Linked DNA regions of Oryzias latipes. The protein of the gene in region 2 binds, or shares a complex with, the protein of the main gene of each other region. Links are inferred from orthologs where the notes say so. Each region holds a gene or a part of one and is shown on either strand. Other genes may lie near its edges. The genes, in order: bmf and ribosomal protein S6 kinase alpha-3.

Region 1 (4,277 bases), on a different chromosome or scaffold from region 2:
CATTTAATGCCCAAATTTAACGTGATGAGTGATTTAATGAAATTGAATCCTAATCTAGTGGAATCCAGAGTGAAGAATCTGAGTCAAAGGTGAAATCTGTCAGGGAATCAGGTTACCCAGTGCACAGCACAATGCTGACATGTCAAACGTAGAAAGTACTTGTTTGCTGACATTATCTACCAGGAAATCAGTCCTGAGTTTTTACAGTCAGCAGGCTCCTTTTGTTTTTGTTTTTTTCCCTTCTCCTCACCAGTTGTAGGCGTTCCCGGTGAAACTGGTCCCCTATCAGCTGGAGTTTCTGTGCAATGCAGGCCTCCGTGCTGCGTGCCACAGGCTGCTGCCGGGGAAGCCGCTCCATCCCGCGCCGCTCTGCTTCCCTGTCGTGCCGCCTCACCTCAAGATCCCCAGCAAGCTCAAAGCGTGCTGGGAAGTGCAATCGAAAACCTGCGTTACCTGTTGAGTGTCAAAGCTGATACTTAATATCTCGTAAACAACGTGTTCGGTGAAAAAACTAAACTAAACACAGAACTGAAACCTGACAGACCTCTCTTTATGTCAGGTACCAAGATTTTTTTTACTCCAAGTGATGACTAATGTCTCTTTGGATAAACAAGCTGCCCGGCTGACAAACAATTTCCCCAGCTGTGGTTTTATTGCACATAATAGTTTTATAGGTCACTGACACCCAAAAGGGCTTCAGCAGTTAGTTGTTATGGAACTACTCCGGCATGACTGCTCATATATGGCACCAACATAGCTTTGCTGCTACTGATAATGATTTATCTGAGGAGTTGTTGCACTGCTGTCACAGTGCTCACCTGTCCCAAAGCCGGCCTGGCGCCTTCTGAATAGCAAAGCAGCTGGTAACACGCCACAATGGCCATAAAAAACTGAGTTTGATGACGACTCCCAGGCGCCAGGGGAGAGCTCAGGGCTGCAACACTGTTGCGCTTTTATCACATCAAGTGTCACATTATGCCTCTGCGCCGGAGTTTTATAACTGGTTATCACACACCAGGCGATGTTCCCCTTTTTTTGCTTTTGAAAGACGGTGTGTCATCAGCCTCACCGTAGAAAAGTGGTCTGGGCTCCTCTGCAAGTCCACAGAGAAGCATGCCGTTGTTTGGTACCAGGGCAGGACCGGGTGTCTGCGTGCCCCGGTCTTCACACTTTATCTTCCTGGCTGTCGTGCGCCACTTGTTGGGGTCCGGCTCGAACACATCGTCTTCCTCATCGTCCATACGGGGGGGCACTGCAAGACGAGTGACCTTGAAAGCGATATGGCGAATAGAGAATGAGCGCATTTGTGGGCAACACCACAAACCAAGGGCATTCTCTCTAACAAACCTTGAATAAATCTACGTCAGATCTGGAGAGATGACCTCAGACGCATTCATTATCTGCTTCTTTTTTTCTCCTCCGAGGCACTCATTATCATTATAGACAACCTGTCTGGCCTGTATGGAGCGAGCTCCGATCAATGAAACCACGGTGGACGGGGAAATGAAACGACTGCTCTGCTTTCTCTGGAAGTAAAGAGCTCAGCGTTTATTTAAACAAATGAGTCTGTTCAGCTCAGTGAATAAACCACACAATTCACTGCGGTTAGAAGTCAATCAAGCCACAGTAACATAGAAGCTAGCTTGGTTAACTTGGTAAAAGAAAACGTAAAATTATCTTTTTTTCCCTGAATGACTGAGTTCTTATATTATTTCTCTATTTCAATGAAAAACATTAATCCAAAAACTGGGTATACAAAGTACAAAACTAAAGCAATTTCTTAAAGTCACTGATGCCCTGGAGTTCACCCTGAATCCTGGAGTTCACTCCCTGAATCTGTGTCAAGAAGTTATCAAAACATGGGTGAAACTCATGTTTGCCTCAGCAGCAAAACCCAAGTTACCACTGAGTTGTAAATACAGGGTCACACTGGTATCACGCTTCCAAATGAGGGATCACAGCTAAGAGGGAATGACAGTTTCTGAGGAAAGTCCTACCACTCTCCCTGACAGCTTTTGAACTTTTCTTTTAAACTCCACTCAGCTCCTGTCTGCTAAGACTCAAACACGTGGAAGTCTAACTTTATCTTTTTTTTTAAATATAAAAAAATAATAATAATAATAACAGCAAAATACTTTAAATGTATATTTTCTGCTATTTTGACTACAAACATTTTTATGTCATGCAGTGGCTCCCCCTGCTGGTGGGGGCGCATTTTAATACAAAAGTCAATTATAGTGGGCTTGTTTTGGAGCAACAGCTCCACGGTAGATGCATCTTCTATGCCCATAAACATCATGACACCCTCTTCATTCTAACATTAAGCTATCAGTGGCACAAACTTGATAAATATTGCTCTCGTTATCAAAATTTCAATTAAAAAAAACAACAACTAAAAGTTGCCTTATGACAAAAGGTGCAGTTGAGGGCATTTAATTCCGAATCGAAACCTAATAGGGTCACTCACACACACAAACAGAAAAAAAGTAAACCAACCTATTACGTTTGCTGCTACAAACAAAAGTTTAGGGCGGAAATGTCGTCATAAACGGTTATTTGCGTGCTTATATGCCTTTACGGAGTGTTTTCTGTTGAAAAAGGTGACTGTCACACAACAAAGTGCAGACACATGACAGAGACCGGCCGCGCTGACTTCATTGGTGCTGTGTCAGCCGGGAAAGCCGGTGTTTTTCAAATCTTACTGTACGACAGAAGAGCACAGCGAAAGCGCGCGCCGCTTCCAAGCGCCACAAAAAGCTGTGTTGCGTCTTTTTCAAGTAACAACAACAAGTTTCCCTTCAGTTCGTTAAAGCTAATAAAGCGGCTGAACGTTTGGAGGCTGTTCTTACCGAGAAGACTGGCGGCGTTTAAAACACTTGTCCTGCACTCTGGGGTTAAATGTGGCGAAAATTAAACAATAAAATAAAAGAAACTTCTAAAAAAAATAGGACTCCAAGTCTTAAAATCCTGCTAAGTCAAACGACTTTATTCCTCAACGACTACTTCCATTCTGCGAGGAGCGCTGCCACGGTCGGACTGATTTCGCCGACGTCAGCCTGAGATGACTCCGCCAAGTGGGCGGGAGCTGAATTTTAGTAAATAGAGGATGATTTACGTGCGCGCGCGCCAGCCAATGGCTGCCTTTGTTTATATGCCGCCGCTGCCGCGGTGTTTTCAGACACGTGGACGGGAAATTCCCCGGAGCACGAGACCGCTTTCACGCTACTACGCAGCTCATGTGCTAGAAGGCCTGTCTGTCCTCCGCTGCCTTGGTCTCTAACCATAGCAGTGGAGGCATAATGCTTTATTTGCTTGACAAATCTGCCATATATGGTTTAGCTTGATCTTTTTTTTAGCTTCTATTTTATTTTCAACCGAACTGACTATTTAAAACCCGGTGTTTTATTTTTTGAACTACGTTAAACAAATTTAACTCTTTTTTTAAGTCAAACATATTTACATCTTTTAAAGTTTTTTCCACTTTATTTTAGAACAACTTTTTAATTTTTATTTCAAAAACAAGTCTATTTTATAAGAAGACAAGCGTTTCTAGAAAAAAAGTCCCTCCCAACTTATGGGAGAATTGATGTCAAAATACAGATACCCATATATTAGCAATTTGGGTGTTGAGTACTCTATTAATTTATCAATTACTAATTAATACATGAGAAAATAAAAGTGTATCTATCATTTCTAGATTTTGCTTGGTTATTAGGTGAGCGACACCCCCAGCAGACAGCATATTAAGCTGCTCTATCAGTCACGTGACCAGAGGAACCATGAGTTGTGTATCTTCTGCTTTGTTCACACCATCATACAAAAGCAACCTCTTCAACTGAAAGGTCTACATAAACGTGCGTATATGCGCGTTTCGGGCTTCCATGTTCAAAACTAACATTTACACTCAACAATGCAAGATTTTAAGTCTGTTTTTGGGCTGTATCTACAAAATGCCTGGCATTTGAACACATGATGAAAGTTAAACCAGTTGAACTTTGACCAATCAGGGTCAAAGGTATGGCGTCTTTTTTAATTAACAGAGGTCCCACTTGTTTAAAAATTGAACATGGAGGAGAAATTAATCATTGCACTGCTTTAAGTGCATTATTTAAAAAAAGAACAGTTATGTATTTATTTAACCTTGCATATTAAAGTTGTTATCTGGACAGTTTTCAGTGGTATTTGTTTTTAAGATAAAAAATAATATGCTTGGGGGGAAAAAAATCACAAATAAGAAATTACCAGTAATCAATATCAGTAATTGGTATCCAGGCCTG
Region 2 (3,814 bases):
CCTCCAGCAGCTCGGGTTCTGCTCCTCACCAGTCTTCCTCCAAACCCAAACAGTCCAGTCCTTCTTGGTCCAGTTGAGACGTTTCCTCCGTTGGTCCAGGTTCAGAAGTGTCTTGACCCGAGGACCCCGACAGAAACTCATCTCCCGGATGCGTCTGAATTTTATGGCGGATGGCACACAGCGTTGTAGTCTTCCCCGTATTGAACCAAACTGAACCATTGAATGACGTGTGGGGAATCTGTGCAGGTGTTTCAGGTTTAGTAGGTGATTAGTTGGTAAAACTCAGTTTGAAACATTCATGTCCTTAAAAGTTTGGGCAGATTTCTCCACACTTGTCTGATTCTCGCCAAACAAACACGACAAATCCATCCTCAGGTTTGATGAAGTACGGCCTGATGAATGTTTGTGTTTGATGCAGGTGATGTTCACAGAGGAAGACGTGAAGTTCTACCTGGCAGAGCTCGCTCTGGCTCTGGACCACCTCCACGGCCTCGGCATCATTTACAGAGACCTCAAACCGGAGAAGTAAGCAGACCCACACAGACGCACTCCCCTCATGCAGCATCACAGCTGGTTGTGGCTTCCTGCTTCCAAACCAAGATAGATTAGCAGATCTTTAAAGCTCCTGCTGCTGCTCCCTCAACATTTCTGTCGTTTCAGCATCCTGCTGGACGAGGATGGACACATCAAGCTGACCGGTGCGCATCCTCCTCCCCCCGCGTCTTTTGTCTTGTGCTGCCGTCAGCCGTCTCTCATCCGGTTTTCCCGCTTTCATGTCTGTGCGCTCAGACTTCGGCCTCAGCAAGGAGTCGATAGACCACGAGAACAAGGCCTACTCCTTCTGCGGGACGGTGGAGTACATGGCTCCGGAGGTGGTGAACAGGCGGGGGCACACGCACAGCGCCGACTGGTGGTCCTACGGCGTGCTAATGGTGAGAAGATGCTGCCCCCTGCTGGCTGCTTGCAGACCAAATTGCTGGCGATGTGCTGAAGGGAACAGAGGTCACATCTCCCCAAGTTCAAGAGTTCAAGGTCCCCTTCCTTCCTGGGTGTAATTTACAATCATATAGAAAAAATTCTCCGATGATTTTAGGCTCCAGGTGATGTGAAAATCAGTCCTGGATTTAATGGTTTGCTGCAAATTAGAAACAAACGGATGAAGCGGTTAAACTGAGTCTGAATTGAGACATTTAGGAAACGGTGACGGCGTCCTGTGAGCCTATCAAAGGGAGTTTTTGGTTCAACTGTCAGGAATCTGCACAGAAAGCCTGTGAGATCATGACCAACATGACTCCAAATTCTCATGCCAAACCTTCTCTCTTCCAGTTTGAGATGCTGACGGGAACGCTGCCGTTCCAAGGAAAAGACCGGAAAGAGACGATGACCATGATCCTCAAGTGAGTCGCAGCAAACCCAGGACGAGAGCAGAGTTTGAGTAGAAAACGATCCAGACGGAGGCTCAGAGGAGGTTCCTTTTGTGTTCTTGTGATTCTCCGTTTCTCAGTGAACATCCGGGAAAACGCCCGGATGTTCACTGAGAAACGGAGACGGGGGATCCAGAAGAGGACACAAACACTACTTCAACGTCTAGCCTTTCAGATTCCTTCCCGCTCCACCTCCAGCACGGACGTTCGATGCCGAAGCGTCACGCCGCCGCCGCCTTTCAGCTCACCTCCTCTGTTCTCCGTCTTTGCAGAGCCAAGCTGGGAATGCCACAGTTTCTCAGCTCAGAAGCTCAGAGTCTTCTCAGGAACCTGTTCAAGCGCAACCCTGGAAACAGACTAGGTAACACATCTGTGCGCAAGGCATGCTGGGATGCTTCTTGGAGATGGAACTCCTTTTAAGTCTTTTTGTATCGTACAACCCTCAGTGTATTTTAGATTTGAAAGGAACGAAACTGAAAGACTTAAATGATCCCATTTTATTGACAACAGAACAAAAAATACAAACAGCAGAAAGACAGAAAGGTTTAGCTTGAAAAAGCGTTAACTATAAAGGAGTCTCTCTTCAGCAGATGAATCTCTTAATGCTGTCATGCGAGTCTTTTTAATTAATCGTGACCTGTTGCTTATTAATCTATTCTCAACTACAATTATTTTTAACCCAATAATTGATTTAAAAAGTCTCATATTTAGATATTTTCATATGAATTCATGACATTGTGGTGCAGTTAAAAACCAAATTACAACTAAAAAACTGTCTCACTGAACTTTTTCTAATATAACAGACAACAAGGGGGATTTTTAAAATCTCAAACCGCTAATGTGAAACATAAAAACAGGAGGAACACCAACAAATACTGATAACACATGTTAATTTATGAGAGCGAACACCTCATGAAGGATCTATCCCATCCATGAGAGATAGATTTTGGTGTTGTGTGCTTGTTTGAGGTAGTTTTGTGAAGAACTACAAATTCGCACATTGATGGTGTCATAGCAGAGACACGGCACATGCTTTTCAGAGGCAAAAAGCTCATTACCTCGATTCTCTCGTCTTTAAACAGGTTTGATGGAAGAGAGGTGGTGCACCATTGTAACCATGGTAACCGAGCTGCTGATGGACTATTATCAGATTTCTCAGATTTAACATATTTTATCATAGTCCTTTTATGAATAAAAAAACAATTCACCCTATTTAAGGTTTTAGGTATTTTATTCTACTTGAGCTTACATTTTTCTGAACAAACAATAGAGATTAGTGACGGCGAGATGAAGCCCCATTAAGCTTTGAAGCGATGGAGACGGGATGGACTGTCACTGTGGTTGTGTTGCTTTTGTGACTTCAGGAAAGCAAAACAGGCATTCATTTTTGTTGTAAACAGCAGTTTCTCCTAAATCTCCAAACTATCTGCACTTCTATCCAAACTGTGTCTAAACTCTGACTGACCGTTAGTCGGAATCAAACCCACGGTCACCCAAGGATTCACATCGCTGTCAAAACACAAACTCCCGTGGTACGGCTGGGCGGCGGGGCATTTAAGCTCCTCCCCTAAATGGAGCACGCCTCCTCATGGGCATCGTGGACATGCCCCCCCACCCCCACCCCCCCCGGCAAAGAACTGGAAGCCTGGGAGCGTAAAGACAGACCCGCACAGGAAGGAGCTGGTTTTCATCCGATCCTCTGGTTGTGTTCAGGAGCCGGACCGGATGGCGTGGAGGAGATCAAGAGGCATCACTTCTTCCACACCATCGACTGGAATGTCAGTTCCTCCGTCCAACAGCCTCCCATCCCGCCTCCCTTCCTCTCTCACTAACCGTCTGTCTTCAGAAACTCTTCCGCAGAGAGATCTATCCGCCCTTCAAGCCGGCCGTGGGACGACCCGACGACACTTTCTATTTTGATCCAGAGTTCACAGCTAAGACGCCCAGAGGTAGCCCCCCCTCCCCTGCTCCTCCTGCCCCTCCCTCCCTGCTGAAGCTCCTCCAACAAGTCCTGCTTCACCTCTCTGTGCTCCTCAGACTCTCCAGGGGTCCCTCCGAGTGCGAACGCTCACCAGCTCTTCAGGGGGTTCAGCTTCGTGGCCATCACAGAGGAGGAGACACAGCCGCTGCCTCACGCTATCGTACAGGTACGCGCACGCTCCGTGCACGCTCCACAGAACTGAGCTTCTGCAATGACAGCAGCGGTGACGAGTTCAGCCGTCACAACACCGTCGACAAAATGTTTCACAGATCATGAATTCACATTTAGGGGGCTGCACGCTGGCATAGGGGTTGGTGCTCTCGGGTCCTGGTTCAAATCCCTGCTGGGTTCTTTCTGCGTGGAGTTAGCATGTTCTCCTGGTGCACGCGTGGGTTTTCTCCAGGCACTC

The links.
Region 1: the proteins of ribosomal protein S6 kinase alpha-3 (region 2) and bmf are in contact, whole or in part, in a crystal structure (PDB 8R58), measured with the Homo sapiens proteins. The link is inferred for Oryzias latipes from reciprocal best matches to the Homo sapiens genes RPS6KA3 and BMF. Residues at the interface, in NP_004577.1 of Homo sapiens: Trp252, Phe259, Phe268, Leu281, Ala283, Lys284, Leu285, Gly286, Met287, Pro288, Leu299, Arg300, Phe303, Lys304, Arg305, Asn306, Asn309; in NP_001003940.1 of Homo sapiens: Glu8, Leu10, Glu11, Asp12, Asp13, Val14, Phe15, Gln16, Pro17.

The regions. Positions count from the first base shown.
Region 1 is NC_019880.2:14,506,570-14,510,846, forward strand, and holds the start of bmf (bcl-2-modifying factor), read right to left. Parts: upstream 3,067-4,277; 5' UTR 2,850-3,066; intron 1,527-2,849; 5' UTR 1,348-1,526; intron 1,269-1,347; 5' UTR 1,242-1,268; coding exon 1,070-1,241; intron 454-1,069; coding exon 251-453; intron 1-250. UniProt on the Homo sapiens protein: May play a role in apoptosis. Isoform 1 seems to be the main initiator.
Region 2 is NC_019878.2:2,760,124-2,763,937, reverse strand, and holds part of ribosomal protein S6 kinase alpha-3, read left to right. Parts: intron 1-418; coding exon 419-525; intron 526-660; coding exon 661-698; intron 699-789; coding exon 790-932; intron 933-1,326; coding exon 1,327-1,397; intron 1,398-1,696; coding exon 1,697-1,785; intron 1,786-3,137; coding exon 3,138-3,202; intron 3,203-3,270; coding exon 3,271-3,373; intron 3,374-3,461; coding exon 3,462-3,571; intron 3,572-3,814. UniProt on the Homo sapiens protein: Serine/threonine-protein kinase that acts downstream of ERK (MAPK1/ERK2 and MAPK3/ERK1) signaling and mediates mitogenic and stress-induced activation of the transcription factors CREB1, ETV1/ER81 and NR4A1/NUR77, regulates translation through RPS6 and EIF4B phosphorylation, and mediates cellular proliferation, survival, and differentiation by modulating mTOR signaling and repressing pro-apoptotic function of BAD and DAPK1.